Ovis aries: one gene and its partners. The protein of the gene in region 1 binds, or shares a complex with, the protein of each later gene. Links are inferred from orthologs where the notes say so. Each region holds a gene or a part of one and is shown in the gene's direction. Other genes may lie near its edges.

Region 1 (4,320 bases):
GTCAGGGCAGGAAAGCACATGGGTTCTGGAGCCTCAGCCTCTGCCACCTCTTAGAGGTGATGAGATGAGATGGTTGGTGGGGCCGGGGCCCGGATGGGAATGGGGAGTAGGAGGCTGATTAAAGGGGTCTCCCGAGAGTCCTGAGGATGGAAGCTCAGGGACGTGGATGATCCTGTTTTGTGAGAGGGCCTGGCCCCTCCCCGGAGCCAGTGGCAAAGCAGACCTGGTCAGAGAGGAATGTGGAGATAAGTGCGGTGCTGGCCCAGCAGTCAGCAAGGCTATGGGCGCCTTTGCTGTCTTCACCCCCATCACCCCCCTTTTCTGGCTGAAACCAGGATAGAGACCCAAAATTGGCTGTCCAGCCCCCAGCCCTGCTCCCCCTTTCAGGCCCCTTTGGGAACCACAAAAATTTGGGACCTGGTGTCCTGGCAATGTGATGAACGCATGCACAGCTCTGGTATCTGTTTTAAATTATCCATTAAAATAAGTACAGTCCTGGAAAAAAAAATAAGTACAGTTCTGGGGTTGGTGGGCTGGGCTGGGCTGGGCTGAGGACTAGAAAGGGACCAAAGCTGGGAGGAACCTCAGGCAGGCTCTTTTTCTGACTGCTGGGGTCCAAAGGAAGGGGATGGGGTGGGCAGTACTTGGGTCCTATTCTTGACCTTTTCTGGGGCCTCGGGGTTGTTCTTTGGGTCTACGATCCAATGGTTGATTTCAAAGGGAGATTAAACTGGGGCAGAAAATAGGAAAAGAATAACCCCAAACTCTGGTCCCCACCCTGAATTTGAGGGTGTAAAAGGAACTCAGGATCCAGAACTTTGTGGCAGCTCTCCCTCCAACCACCCCAGGGAACCCAGGCATATTTCCCCACCCCACCCTGGCATACTGAGATGTGGCTTTGAATGGACTGCCCACTCATGGAGGTGGGGGGTGGGGGAGTAGGGGTGACTCACTATTACTATGGGGAGGAAAAGGGGGGCCAGTGGTGGAAGAGTGAGTCACCCTCATGGGCACCAGCCTCAGCCTCCCCCCACTTTCCTGGATCTGCCTGCCTGGCGCCCTCCCTTGCTTTGTGCCTACTGCCCCTCTTCCCCCTGCCCTTTGCCCACCCAGCCTCACCCCTTGGCTCTGCCCATTTCCCCCTCTAAGGCCAAAGGCAGTGGGGGCAAGCTTTTAGCTTGGATCGCTGAGCAGGTAGAGACCTAGAGACGAGCTTCAGGGAAGCCCCAGGCACGTGGGGGTGCCTGAGGGAGGGTGGGGCCCTACCCCGGGGCTGTCGTCTCCCCTGCTCACCCCTCCCTCTCCCACCCCTGTGGGTTAGCGACGGCCCCTTTAAGAGAGTGGCCCCTCCTCCCATTCCCTAGACCTATTAGAGCCTTTGCCCGGGAGCCGGTGACTCAGAGTGTTCGCGGGAGCTCCGCATCCACACCGGCCAACCGAGATCCAGAGGTCTGACAGCGCCCGGCCCAGATCCACAAGCCTGCCAGGAGCCAGCCGAGAGCCAGCCGGCCGGCGCGCTCCTACCCCAGCAGTCTCTGTCCTTCGGCCTGAGCCCCGCGTCCTTCCCGGGACCTCTGCCCCTCGGGCAGTGCTGCCACCCTGCCGGCCATGGAGACCCCGTCCCAGCGGCGCGCCACCCGCAGCGGGGCGCAGGCCAGCTCCACCCCGCTGTCACCCACCCGCATCACCCGGCTGCAGGAGAAGGAGGACCTACAGGAGCTCAATGACCGCTTGGCTGTCTACATCGACCGGGTGCGCTCGCTGGAAACGGAGAATGCAGGTCTGCGCCTTCGCATCACTGAGTCTGAGGAGGTGGTCAGCCGCGAGGTGTCTGGCATAAAGGCCGCCTACGAAGCCGAGCTGGGGGATGCCCGCAAGACCCTCGACTCGGTGGCCAAGGAGCGCGCCCGCCTGCAGCTGGAGCTGAGCAAAGTGCGAGAGGAGTTCAAGGAGCTCAAGGCGCGGTGAGTGCCCCAGGTGGCGGCGTGGGGCCGGGAGGGGCAGTGAGGGCAGAGGGACTGCCGCCCCTGCCTGGGCTCCAGGCCGTTGGTAACGTTGCCGTATAGTTTCCTCCCTCCCGGAACTGCCCCCAGCGAGTGCCTGGCAGTGCCAAGGGAAATTGTCAAGACAGGACTGAGAAGGGAGAGGTCTCTGGGAGAGGGTGGGGTATATAAGGAATGGCGGGGTTCATCAGGGCCAAGTAGGAGCTGGTGGCAGGCCCGCAATCTGTCAGGGTGGGATTTGCCAGTCATTTGGGGCCTGAGAGAGGGCCTTGAGCAAAGCCGAACTGGCCTTGCCAGGTCTAAGACATCTAGGCGCCCAAGACACTTAGGAGTGGGTGAGAGGGTCCTGTTGGAACTTTCTTGGCAGCCTTGGCACCGTGCCAACCTTGCCCAGCCTGTCTCTGAAGACATGACTCCCACTAAAACAGAGCTCCTAGGCTGGGAGATGTCTAGTGGTGCCAGAGAGAGGTCACCAAAGCCGGGTGACCCCCTTTTCCCCCTGCAGGGGCACAGCGATGGCCCCCACTGCACAACCCTTTCCCAGGCTCTTGTTAAGAGTTTTGAAGTGCTCCTTTACTCCCTGCATGTCTGGGACTTCCCCTGGCCTCTGACAGGCCCACCGATCAACTCTAGGAGAGCCGCTCCCCCGCAGCTCCCACAGCCCTTGGCCTGCTTGGCCCAGGAATGCAAGGGAGGGAGGGAGACGGAGGGCAGAGGCTCCCGGCTCAGGAAGTTGTGTTATGTATGCCCAGGTCTGTACCTCCCCTTCCCCATCTCCCCACCCTCACCCTCTGCCTAGTCCCTCCCTGCCTCCCTTCTTGGGGTGAGCCACTTTCATTTTCCCGGCCAAGCCTAGCAGCCTCTGCTCTGGCCGGCCCTCTCAGCCACTGGGACATTTTTTTTGTTATTGTTCTTTGCCTTATTAAACTCCTGGAATACTGTGACATTTTTGAAATCCAGCCGTTGGAAGACTCAGGCCCCTCCTACCTTACCCATCCCTGCCCCACCCTACCGCACCCTACTTGTCTCCTCCCTCTTCTCTGAAAAGGCCTTTGGAGCTGGGAAGTTTAGGCCCTCTTCAGCTCCCCAAGGATTTGTTTTCTGAGAAGACCTCAGCCAGAGAGCACTAAGGTGCTTGGAGACCCCTGGCTGAGGCTGTAGTGGTTGGTCTTCTCTTCTTCCCCTTTGCGTCGTCTTCTCCAGGCTCATGCTCTTCTCAGAAGCGCTGTGAATTTGCTACTCTTTATACCCCTTCGCTAGCCCCCAGCCCCTGGCATGGTGGGTGTGGCAGATGTATCATCCCCTAGTGAAGAGTAGATGGAAATGGTGTGGGTAGGCAGGTGACTCTCCCCCCCACCACCCCCCGCACCCCCAAGCCCAGGCTTGCCAGGGGTCAGTTCCCTGATCAGACCAGGGATCCAAAGCCAGGAATCCTAACCATTAGGCCACCAGGGAACTCAGAGTGACTATTTCTGTTGAAAGGGATCATTCCTGTCATTGTCCACTAGTGATATGAATAACTTAGTTAACAGGGCAGACAAGAGGCAAGCTAGGGGAGTCCCAGAGAATTAGTCTTCCAAACTAGCTTACCCAGCTACCGAACTACTACCTTGCGGGTCCCTGCCAAGGGCATTCTTAGCAGGTCTTTTTCTGGGGAAGGTTTTGACCAGGGAACAGAACGAGTGGAGTCTATGGTCTCTCGCTAACCCAGCCACACCAGTCTGTCTCTGCCTCCTGGTGCAGCTGTCCCGGTCTGGGACACCAGGCGGGTGTGTGCGCACGTGGGACAGGGCCGGGGGTGGTGTGTGTACTTGTTATATTTAGCTGCCTGCCTCTCCTCTCCCCCACTGATCCTGGCTGGGGGTGCTGGGCTTCCGGGAGAGGGGGGGTGGTTTTGCACACCTGGATCCTAGGCTGATAGGAGGTTGGGCGGAGACAAAGAGGGCTCACTTGAGGTTTCTGTCCCCTTCTATGTCCCCAGTGGGAGGAGCAAGGATTTGTTGCTCCCTTTTGTGTCTGCTTTGCTCAGGGTGAGGTGAAGAACGCCATGAAGAATTTGGGAGAGGAAGAAAGGCATTGTCCTAACTCCTCCCACTAAAGCCTAGAGAGAAGGTGTTGTCTGGTTTAATGTTTAATTAGAGCTCAGAGTTCAGGGCCAGGCTTTGGGTTGGGATGCAGAGCTGTCTGTAAGGTTTTGTGGCGATTCCTGGCCCAGCCTGGGTACCTTGACCACACCCAGGGCTTTGGGGCCCCCTCTCATCAGACTGGGTTACAGGCTCCAAGCAGAAACACTGCTCCTGCCTGCAAACACAGACTC
Region 2 (3,642 bases), about 91 Mb from region 1:
CCAGCAAGTGCTTAACTTAAAGACTCAGAATGCTCCAGAGTTCTGTTCCCTTGTTATAAATATGAGCTGGAATGAGTAGGTTCATCTCAGACAAGAGGTGAAGTGTGCCATCAGGCCATTTTGGTCTGGATCACTCCACCCTCGTGGCTCAGGACTTTATAATGTTCTGTGTCCTGGAACCTTAAGTTATTCACTTATGGGGCTAGAGCCCAGATCTTGTTGCCTTTGAGAAGCTATAAGTCAAAACCCTTTCCCCTCACTGCCCAGTAGATCTTGTTTCTAAGATGTTTTCTCCTTTCTGAGTTAGAATTAGGGTTCTTCTGAGAAAAGGTCCTGAGTGTTTGTGTATTCTCCAGTTTTCCCAGTGTGACTGTCACACCTCCTTTTTTCAACTAGAGTATTAATATCTTCCTTAACTCAATCATCTTTCTAAACGCTAGCTTACAGTTATCTGTTAGGAGTAGAAGGGTCTTAGAAAAGCGTAGTGAAAAGTAGCATTTGGGGATTGGATTATGAAAATCGTTAAAAGCGTAATGAGTTTGCAGTCTTTTAGAGCCATTACAAATTTTTTAAGTAGAGAAGTTGCATTTTTAGATTCATCTGATGTGTATATAGGATGGATTGGAAGGGGAGGGATTGATAATAGTCAGGGAATGGTGCTGGCTGTTTTAGTGTTTAAGGCAAAATAATTTAAAACACCCTTGCAATCATAGTGTTTAAGGGGGAAATAAGCCCAGTGATTAGGGAATTAGACTTATTAATTAATTAATTATTTGGTTACATCACACACGGGATCTTTTTGGCAGCACCCAGACTCTCTAGTTGTGGCACATGGGCTCTGGAGCTTTTGAGCTTCAGAAGTTGCAGCAAGCATATCCTATACCAAGATTATGTTACTCGCTGTTATTTAATATGGTTATATTTTTTGAAGATGGGATTCTGACTCAGTAATTTTAAAGAAGGTCCTGGAATCTGTTTTGTTTGTTTGTTTGTTTTTTAATATCTCATTTCCCATTTGGGGACAAATGCTGAAATGAATCACCTGCATGTTGTAGCCAAATCTCCTTTCTTCCTCTTCCCTTCTCCCTTTTTCTATGTTTAGAAACATAGTGGCTACATCTTTACTGACAAATCAAATATGCTTTGGTGGTATACTCCCATCTAAAAGAATTCAGTTTTAGGGGCTTCCCTGGTGGCGCATTGGATAAGAATCTGCCTGCCAGTGTAGGAGACCCAGGTTTAATCCTAGTCCAGGAAGATCCCACATGCCTTGGGGCAACTAAGCCCAAGTACCGCAACTATTGAGCCTGTACTCTAGAGCCAGTGAGCTGCAACTATTGAGTCTGCCTGCTGCAGCTGCTGAAGCCTGCAAGCCCTATAGCCTGTGCTCCACAAGAGAAGCCCCTGCATTGAGAAACCCGCACACTGCAACTGGAGAGTAGCCCCTGCTCACGGCAGCTGGAGAAAAACTCACGCATCAGTGAGGACCCAGCATAGCAAAAAATTAATTAATGTTTTTTAAAAAAGAATTCAGTTGTCCACTGGGGAGGAAGAGGGGGAGTGATAATGTGGTGGGAGGGAAAGAGAGGGTTCTGTTTGCTTCAGTGCCCTTTCCCCATCCCCACAAGTCCCTTTGTGCTAATTAGTCCTTGTCTTCCACTGTCTTAGGAAAACATTTGTGAGAGAAATGAGGCAGTTCTTAGCTTTTAATTTCCTAAGGATCTGTTGTAAAGGCAATGAAAGGAATCCTTGAGAACAACTGTCTCTGTTGGATTTGGGCTCTGTGAAAATTTCAGCACACTCTGCCCCACCTGCCCTGGCCCAGCTTTTCTGATGCCCCATTGTGTTTCTCCAGGCCCATCGTCTTGTCATCTTTTGCTTTCAGAGTGCTCTTTTCTTTCTCCTTGCTTTTACAGATTCTGTGGAATTCCTCTGTCTCTTCTGTTCCACTAATTTATCTCTTTCTTCAGAGTAGCACTCCCAGTCTCATCAGCTTTGTAAGCCTCCTGAATTCATCAGCATATGTGGCTGTCTCTCATTTTTAAGTTCTTTTAACCATTTTGTCTGTATGACTTCAAGTTAACTTTCATATGGTGCCTGTGTGATTAAAGAAGTATTTTATTGCCTCCCCATCTTACAAATAAGCCGAGGGTGGAGGTGATGTTTTAGACCTTGTGTTAGCCATAGAATCAAGCACATTGCTCTAGTTATACTTAGTGTATACTCATTGACTTGTTGCCTAGCAATTTGTTTGAGGAATCAATTAATATTTAAAAACTGCCTTTTTTCTCTTGTGTTTAGATCACTCAGTCCTTGGTGTTTCTGCTGCTGGCTACACTTTTCAGTGCATTGACTGGTTTGCCATGGAGTCTTTATAATACTTTTGTGATAGAAGAAAAACATGGTTTCAATCAACAGGTAAAATAAAGAATACAATGTTCTCTTTTCAGTGTGAAGATCTTTTGTGCTTTTGTCCTCTGCTGGTAGTAATTAAAACATAATTTGCTGTTTTGGAGAAGGAAATGGCAACCCACTCCAGTATTCTTGCCTGGACAATCCCATGGACAGAGGAACCTGCCAGGCTACAGTCCATGGGGTCACAAACTGGACCCCATTGGGCACAACTGAGTGACTGACAACAACAACAATTTGCTATTTTACAGCATGAATTAATCTAGAAAAAAGGAACTGCAGATATGGTAAAGATCATAGTTTAAGGTCTTGCCATAAACTCTTCTACTAACATCTAGTGTTTTTTAGCTAATAACATTTAAACAAGTTTATTTTAAATTGTAAAATGCAAGGCATTGATGTATTGTCTTAGGCTGCCTGTTGTCATATAGTCTTTATATGACTGCCTTTTCATTTTTAAAATTGCTTTAATAATGTATCCTTTCTATTCACTGATTATTTTAAAAAGCAGTTTCTTAGTTTCTTGTGATGACTTTTTATATTTTCAGACTTTGGGGTTCTTCATGAAAGATGCAATCAAGAAATTTGTTGTGACTCAGTGCATTTTATTACCTGTATCTTCACTTCTACTTTACATTATTAAAATTGGGGGAGACTATTTTTTTATTTATGCCTGGCTGTTCACGCTAGTTGTGTCTCTGGTGAGTGAAATATTTGTTTCGATTTTCTTTTACAAAGCGTACCTTGATGGGATAACTGTGATTTAATCTTTGTTAGCATCTGTACGGTTCTTAAGAAGCAGAAGATATATAAATAAGTACTCATATAAATTCCCCTTTTGTTTTCTGCTTTTAGCTATAGAAATAGGAGAGCTGACTCTGACCATAGATTTTCCTCTCCTTATACTGACTCTTACAAATTCTAGAAGCTAGTTGTTAGTTACTTTTGATTATCCAGTTGTCAGGCAGTTTGGGGCTGTGCATTTGTGAGTTGCCACCAGAGTGATGACTGACAATTTTGATGACCTTTGACTGAGCTCCAGTGTCTAAAAACCGTGGATATTTTGAAGAGAGAATAGATGTAAGTGGGATAAGAAGAAGAAAGCGTAACTGTATTTGCTTTCTTCTGCCCTCCTTCCCTGCCTTTCCCTTCCTCCTTCTTCCCTTTTCCCTCTGCCTCTTCTTCTCTGTCCCCTGTGCCCCTCCCTTCTCCCTGTCTCCTCCCTTTTCT
Region 3 (3,699 bases), on another chromosome or scaffold:
AGCTGAAACTCCAATACTTTGGCCATCTGATGCGAAGAACTGACTCACTGGAAAAGACCCTGATGCTGGGAAAGACCGAAGTCAGGAGGAGAGGGGGACGACAAAGGATGAGATGGTTGGATGGCATCACCGACTCAATGGACATGAGGTTGAGCAAGCTCCGGGAGTTGGTGATGGACAGGGAAGCCTGGCGTTCTGCAGTCCATGGGGTCACAAAGAGTCAGACACGACTGAGCGACTGAACTTAATTGAGACCGATTTGATCTTTGGCATCTGCTGTTTCTGACCCTGGTACTGCAAGACAACGACTGATGCGTACTCAGAAGACTGTTGTTCAGTCGCTAAGTCGTATCCGACTCTTGCGACCCCATGGACTGCAGCACGCCAGGCTTCCCGGTCCTTAACTATTTCCCCGAGTTTGTTCAAAGTCATGATGGTTTCCAAAGGAAACTCCGAAGTGTCATCTCTAGTTGCCGTCCCCTGCCCTCCTCCTTTCCTATCTCGATGGAAAGATGCTCAGAGGGAAAGATCCAAACTTACTCTCTGGCCCTCGGATCCCACGAGAGCTGCCAGAACGACCCGGTTCTCCAGGCAGAACGCTGAGATCGCCTCATCCACGACTCACTTCAGAGCTGAGGCAACGAAAGCAGAGAAAAAGGACTCGCCGGTGGTCACAACGTTTGGAGTCGGTTTGGACTCAGGTCTGGGGCTCATCCGGTTCCCGTCCGACTCTAATAAGTCCGACAGGGAGGAGGACAACGCCTGTCGGCCTGAGTCGGACACCGTACTTCCGGCGCTCTCCCGGAAGTCTCCTGGTCACGCCTTTCCCCTTGTCCGTCTCTCTAATTTTTCCCACCACCAGGTCGGCCAAGGTTAAGTGGCTAAGTTCCGCATGCCGTGCAGCAGATAAATAAAGTTTTCTTCTCACAGGTTTCTGTTCCCTGAGGCCGGAAATGCTTCCCAAGAAGCAAGACTACAAAAGGCAGCCCGGCTTCCTCCGAAGCAACCGGAAATGAACTCCTACTAAGGGCGCTCTCGAGGTCTGGGTGGTGTCGCAACTCTATGACCCTAAGCGGCTAGAAGTGCCCAATGTAGTTTTGTTTTTTTTTTTTAAAGGCCCCCCCCTTGAGGCGACCCGGAAGCGGAAGTGGAAGAAAGTTCTAGTGGGCTGAGGTAGCGGCGGGAGCAGCCGGGTGGCGGGAGAAGCCGTTACAGGAACTGGAGCTGCGGGTGAGCGCGAGCCGCGGAACAGGGCTCGGGCTGGAGGCCAGAACGGGCGCGGGGAGGAGGGGGAGGCAGGGAGGAGAGGGCCCGCAAGGGCTGAGACGGGCCAGACGATGCGCCCTCCGAGAGGGCTCGGCGAGGCGCTGGGAGGGGCGGGGCGCGGCGCGTTGGGGGCGGGGTCCACGGCGTAGGGCGCGGCGGGCGTCCAGGTGTGGCGCTGACGCTGCTGGCAGCGCGGGTGTGCGCGCTCGGGCTGCGCCTTCGCTCAATGAGCAGCCTGTGCGGCGGCGGCGGGGTCAGGGCCCGCCGTTTGCTTTTCGGGCCAAGTGGCCATTCCAGACCCGAGTCAGTGCTGCTTTTGCCCAGCCAAGGTCACAGAGGGTTGACACTTTCAGGGCGGGCCCTGGGTACTGTGGAAATCTTACCTTTGTCCTGCTTGCGCCGCCTGTTAGGGCAAGATAGTTTCTCCTCGGGGGCGGTACCAAAACCCAGCTCCCGCAGGGACTGGGCGAGACTAAGCTCTTAAACAGTGAGGAAAAGACTGTGCGTGGACCTCAGTTTTCTCATCTGTGAAGTGGGGGGAATCGAGAAAGCCCCCATAACAGCTGCTTTGGCATTCTCTTCCTGTGAGATTGCCAGTGGGTTTTCGGGCGTTCCCTGGTTTTCAGCCCTAATTTCCCTCTTCTTGGGATTCCCAGATTAAGCTTGATCGAGATGACAACCTCCCAAAAGCACCGAGACTTCGTGGCAGAGCCCATGGGGGAGAAGCCAGTGGGAAGCCTGGCCGGGATTGGCGAAGTCCTGGGCAAGAAACTGGAGGAAAGGGGCTTTGATAAGGTGTGGAGTGGCTGCCTGTAGTTGGGAGGGGGGCGAGGCGCGACAACAGCATTTCCCGGCAGCTGGGGAGTGAGGAGGGTGTGTGTATCTGTTGGGGAGTGGACGCTCCTGTGTGATCGGCAGAGTCAGCCGGGCAGAACCCACCCTGCCTCTTGGGCTCATGTGTGGGGAGCCACAGGAAAGTGGCCCTTTTTTCCCCCGTGATGTTTATTTGTTTCTGTTTGCCCTGGGGTCTTAGTTGCAGCTTGCAGGATCTTTCATTGTGACTCACAGGCTCCAGAACCCACGGGCTTAGTTGCCCCACAGCAAGTAGGATTGTAGATTCCGGGCCAGGGATTGAACTCATGTCCCCTGAATTGCAAGACAGATTATTCACCACTGGACCAGCAGGGAAGTCCCAGGAAGTGGTCGTCTTGTTCTTAGTCCTACACAGCACTCGGCAGCCCATCTTTTGCTTTGCCCGTTTTGCAGGCCTATGTGGTCCTCGGCCAGTTTCTGGTCCTAAAGAAAGATGAAGACCTCTTCCGGGAATGGCTGAAGGACACGTGTGGCGCCAATGCCAAGCAGTCCCGGGACTGCTTTGGCTGCCTTCGAGAGTGGTGTGATGCCTTCTTGTGATGCTCTCTGGGGAGCCCCCGATCCCAAGCCCCAGCATTGAGTCTCCAGAGTTTGCAGCCTAGTGAGGACTCCTCCTCCGTCCTCTACAAAAGAAGAGATTGCTGTTGTGCACACCTCCCATGTACTCCAGGGCCTTTGGGGAGTTCTCTCCCCTCACCGTTTCAACTTTTTTGGAATTCTCACCCTTGCATGCATTTTCCTTTTCCTTTCCCTGCCAGTTTCGTGACAATAATTACCAGCTTTTCTGAGTGGATTCCTGGCCCTGTCCCTCACCCCCACCCCCACCTGTGGTCTCTTTTATGCCATTTGGTAGTCTTTTTGGCAGAACAGTCACTGTCCTTGTAAAGTTTTATAAATCAATAAAGCCAGTGGCCTTCATGACTGGGCTTTGTATGTGGGAAGCAGGCAGGCTGGGAGTTGCCTGTTCCCCAGGGACTGACCAGGTTTGCCACACTGCTTATCAGTGCAGATCGAAACTGGCAGCTTCCCTCACACTCCCAAGGGCGGCCATCCTGGCAATACGGGCCTTGGGCAGGTGCCTTGAAGTGTCTCAATCCCTCACCAACGTGGGAGAGTGAGTGGGTTGGTTCCTTCCTGGGATCCAGACATCCGTGTGGTCAACAGCTGGGTTAGTCAGCACCTGGTGGAAAGTCCGAGGGAGTCAGAGCAGGAAAAGGGTGGATGGGATGTGGACTGAGGTCTACCTGCCATTGGTCATGTGTTCTCCTGGTCTCTGGGATGAGTGGGCGGGGCTCATGCAGTCCGCCCTGTTCTCAGGGAGGCAGAAAGTGTGTGGGCAACCCAACTGGGTGGGCAGGCTTGAGTGAGTTACACTTGTATTTGGTATATCTTCATCATCTGTTTATCGGACTTACTATGAACCAGGTTCAGAGCTAAGGTTTGTGTAAACATTTTTTTTTCATTCATAATAAGTGTTAGTTTTGTTTTCCACAGATGAAACTAGAGGGTCAGGCTGACTCCATGGACTTACTACTGGGAAGTAGCCAGACTGGTCCTCAA

The links.
Region 2: the proteins of LMNA (region 1) and ZMPSTE24 are in contact, whole or in part, in a crystal structure (PDB 2YPT), measured with the Homo sapiens proteins. The link is inferred for Ovis aries from reciprocal best matches to the Homo sapiens genes LMNA and ZMPSTE24. Residues at the interface, in NP_001393912.1 of Homo sapiens: Cys661, Ser662, Ile663, Met664; in NP_005848.2 of Homo sapiens: Ser264, Asn265, Ala266, Tyr267, Phe268, Val332, His335, His339, Glu415, Leu438, Asn439, Asn442, His459, Arg465.
Region 3: the proteins of LMNA (region 1) and BANF1 are in contact, whole or in part, in a crystal structure (PDB 6GHD), measured with the Homo sapiens proteins. The link is inferred for Ovis aries from reciprocal best matches to the Homo sapiens genes LMNA and BANF1. Residues at the interface, in NP_001393912.1 of Homo sapiens: Ser431, Gln432, His433, Ala434, Arg435, Met540, Lys542; in NP_001137457.1 of Homo sapiens: Val11, Ala12, Glu13, Pro14, Glu83, Asp86, Ala87, Phe88.

The regions. Positions count from the first base shown.
Region 1 is NC_056054.1:106,135,919-106,140,238, forward strand, and holds the start of LMNA (lamin), read left to right. Parts: upstream 1-1,399; 5' UTR 1,400-1,608; coding exon 1,609-1,964; intron 1,965-4,320.
Region 2 is NC_056054.1:14,871,017-14,874,658, forward strand, and holds part of ZMPSTE24 (CAAX prenyl protease 1 homolog), read left to right. Parts: intron 1-2,301; coding exon 2,302-2,418; intron 2,419-2,960; coding exon 2,961-3,113; intron 3,114-3,642. UniProt on the Homo sapiens protein: Transmembrane metalloprotease whose catalytic activity is critical for processing lamin A/LMNA on the inner nuclear membrane and clearing clogged translocons on the endoplasmic reticulum.
Region 3 is NC_056074.1:40,528,155-40,531,853, forward strand, and holds BANF1 (barrier-to-autointegration factor), read left to right. Parts: upstream 1-1,152; 5' UTR 1,153-1,230; intron 1,231-1,922; 5' UTR 1,923-1,938; coding exon 1,939-2,061; exon of another isoform or gene 2,062-2,532; coding exon 2,533-2,679; 3' UTR 2,680-3,057; downstream 3,058-3,699. UniProt on the Homo sapiens protein: Non-specific DNA-binding protein that plays key roles in mitotic nuclear reassembly, chromatin organization, DNA damage response, gene expression and intrinsic immunity against foreign DNA.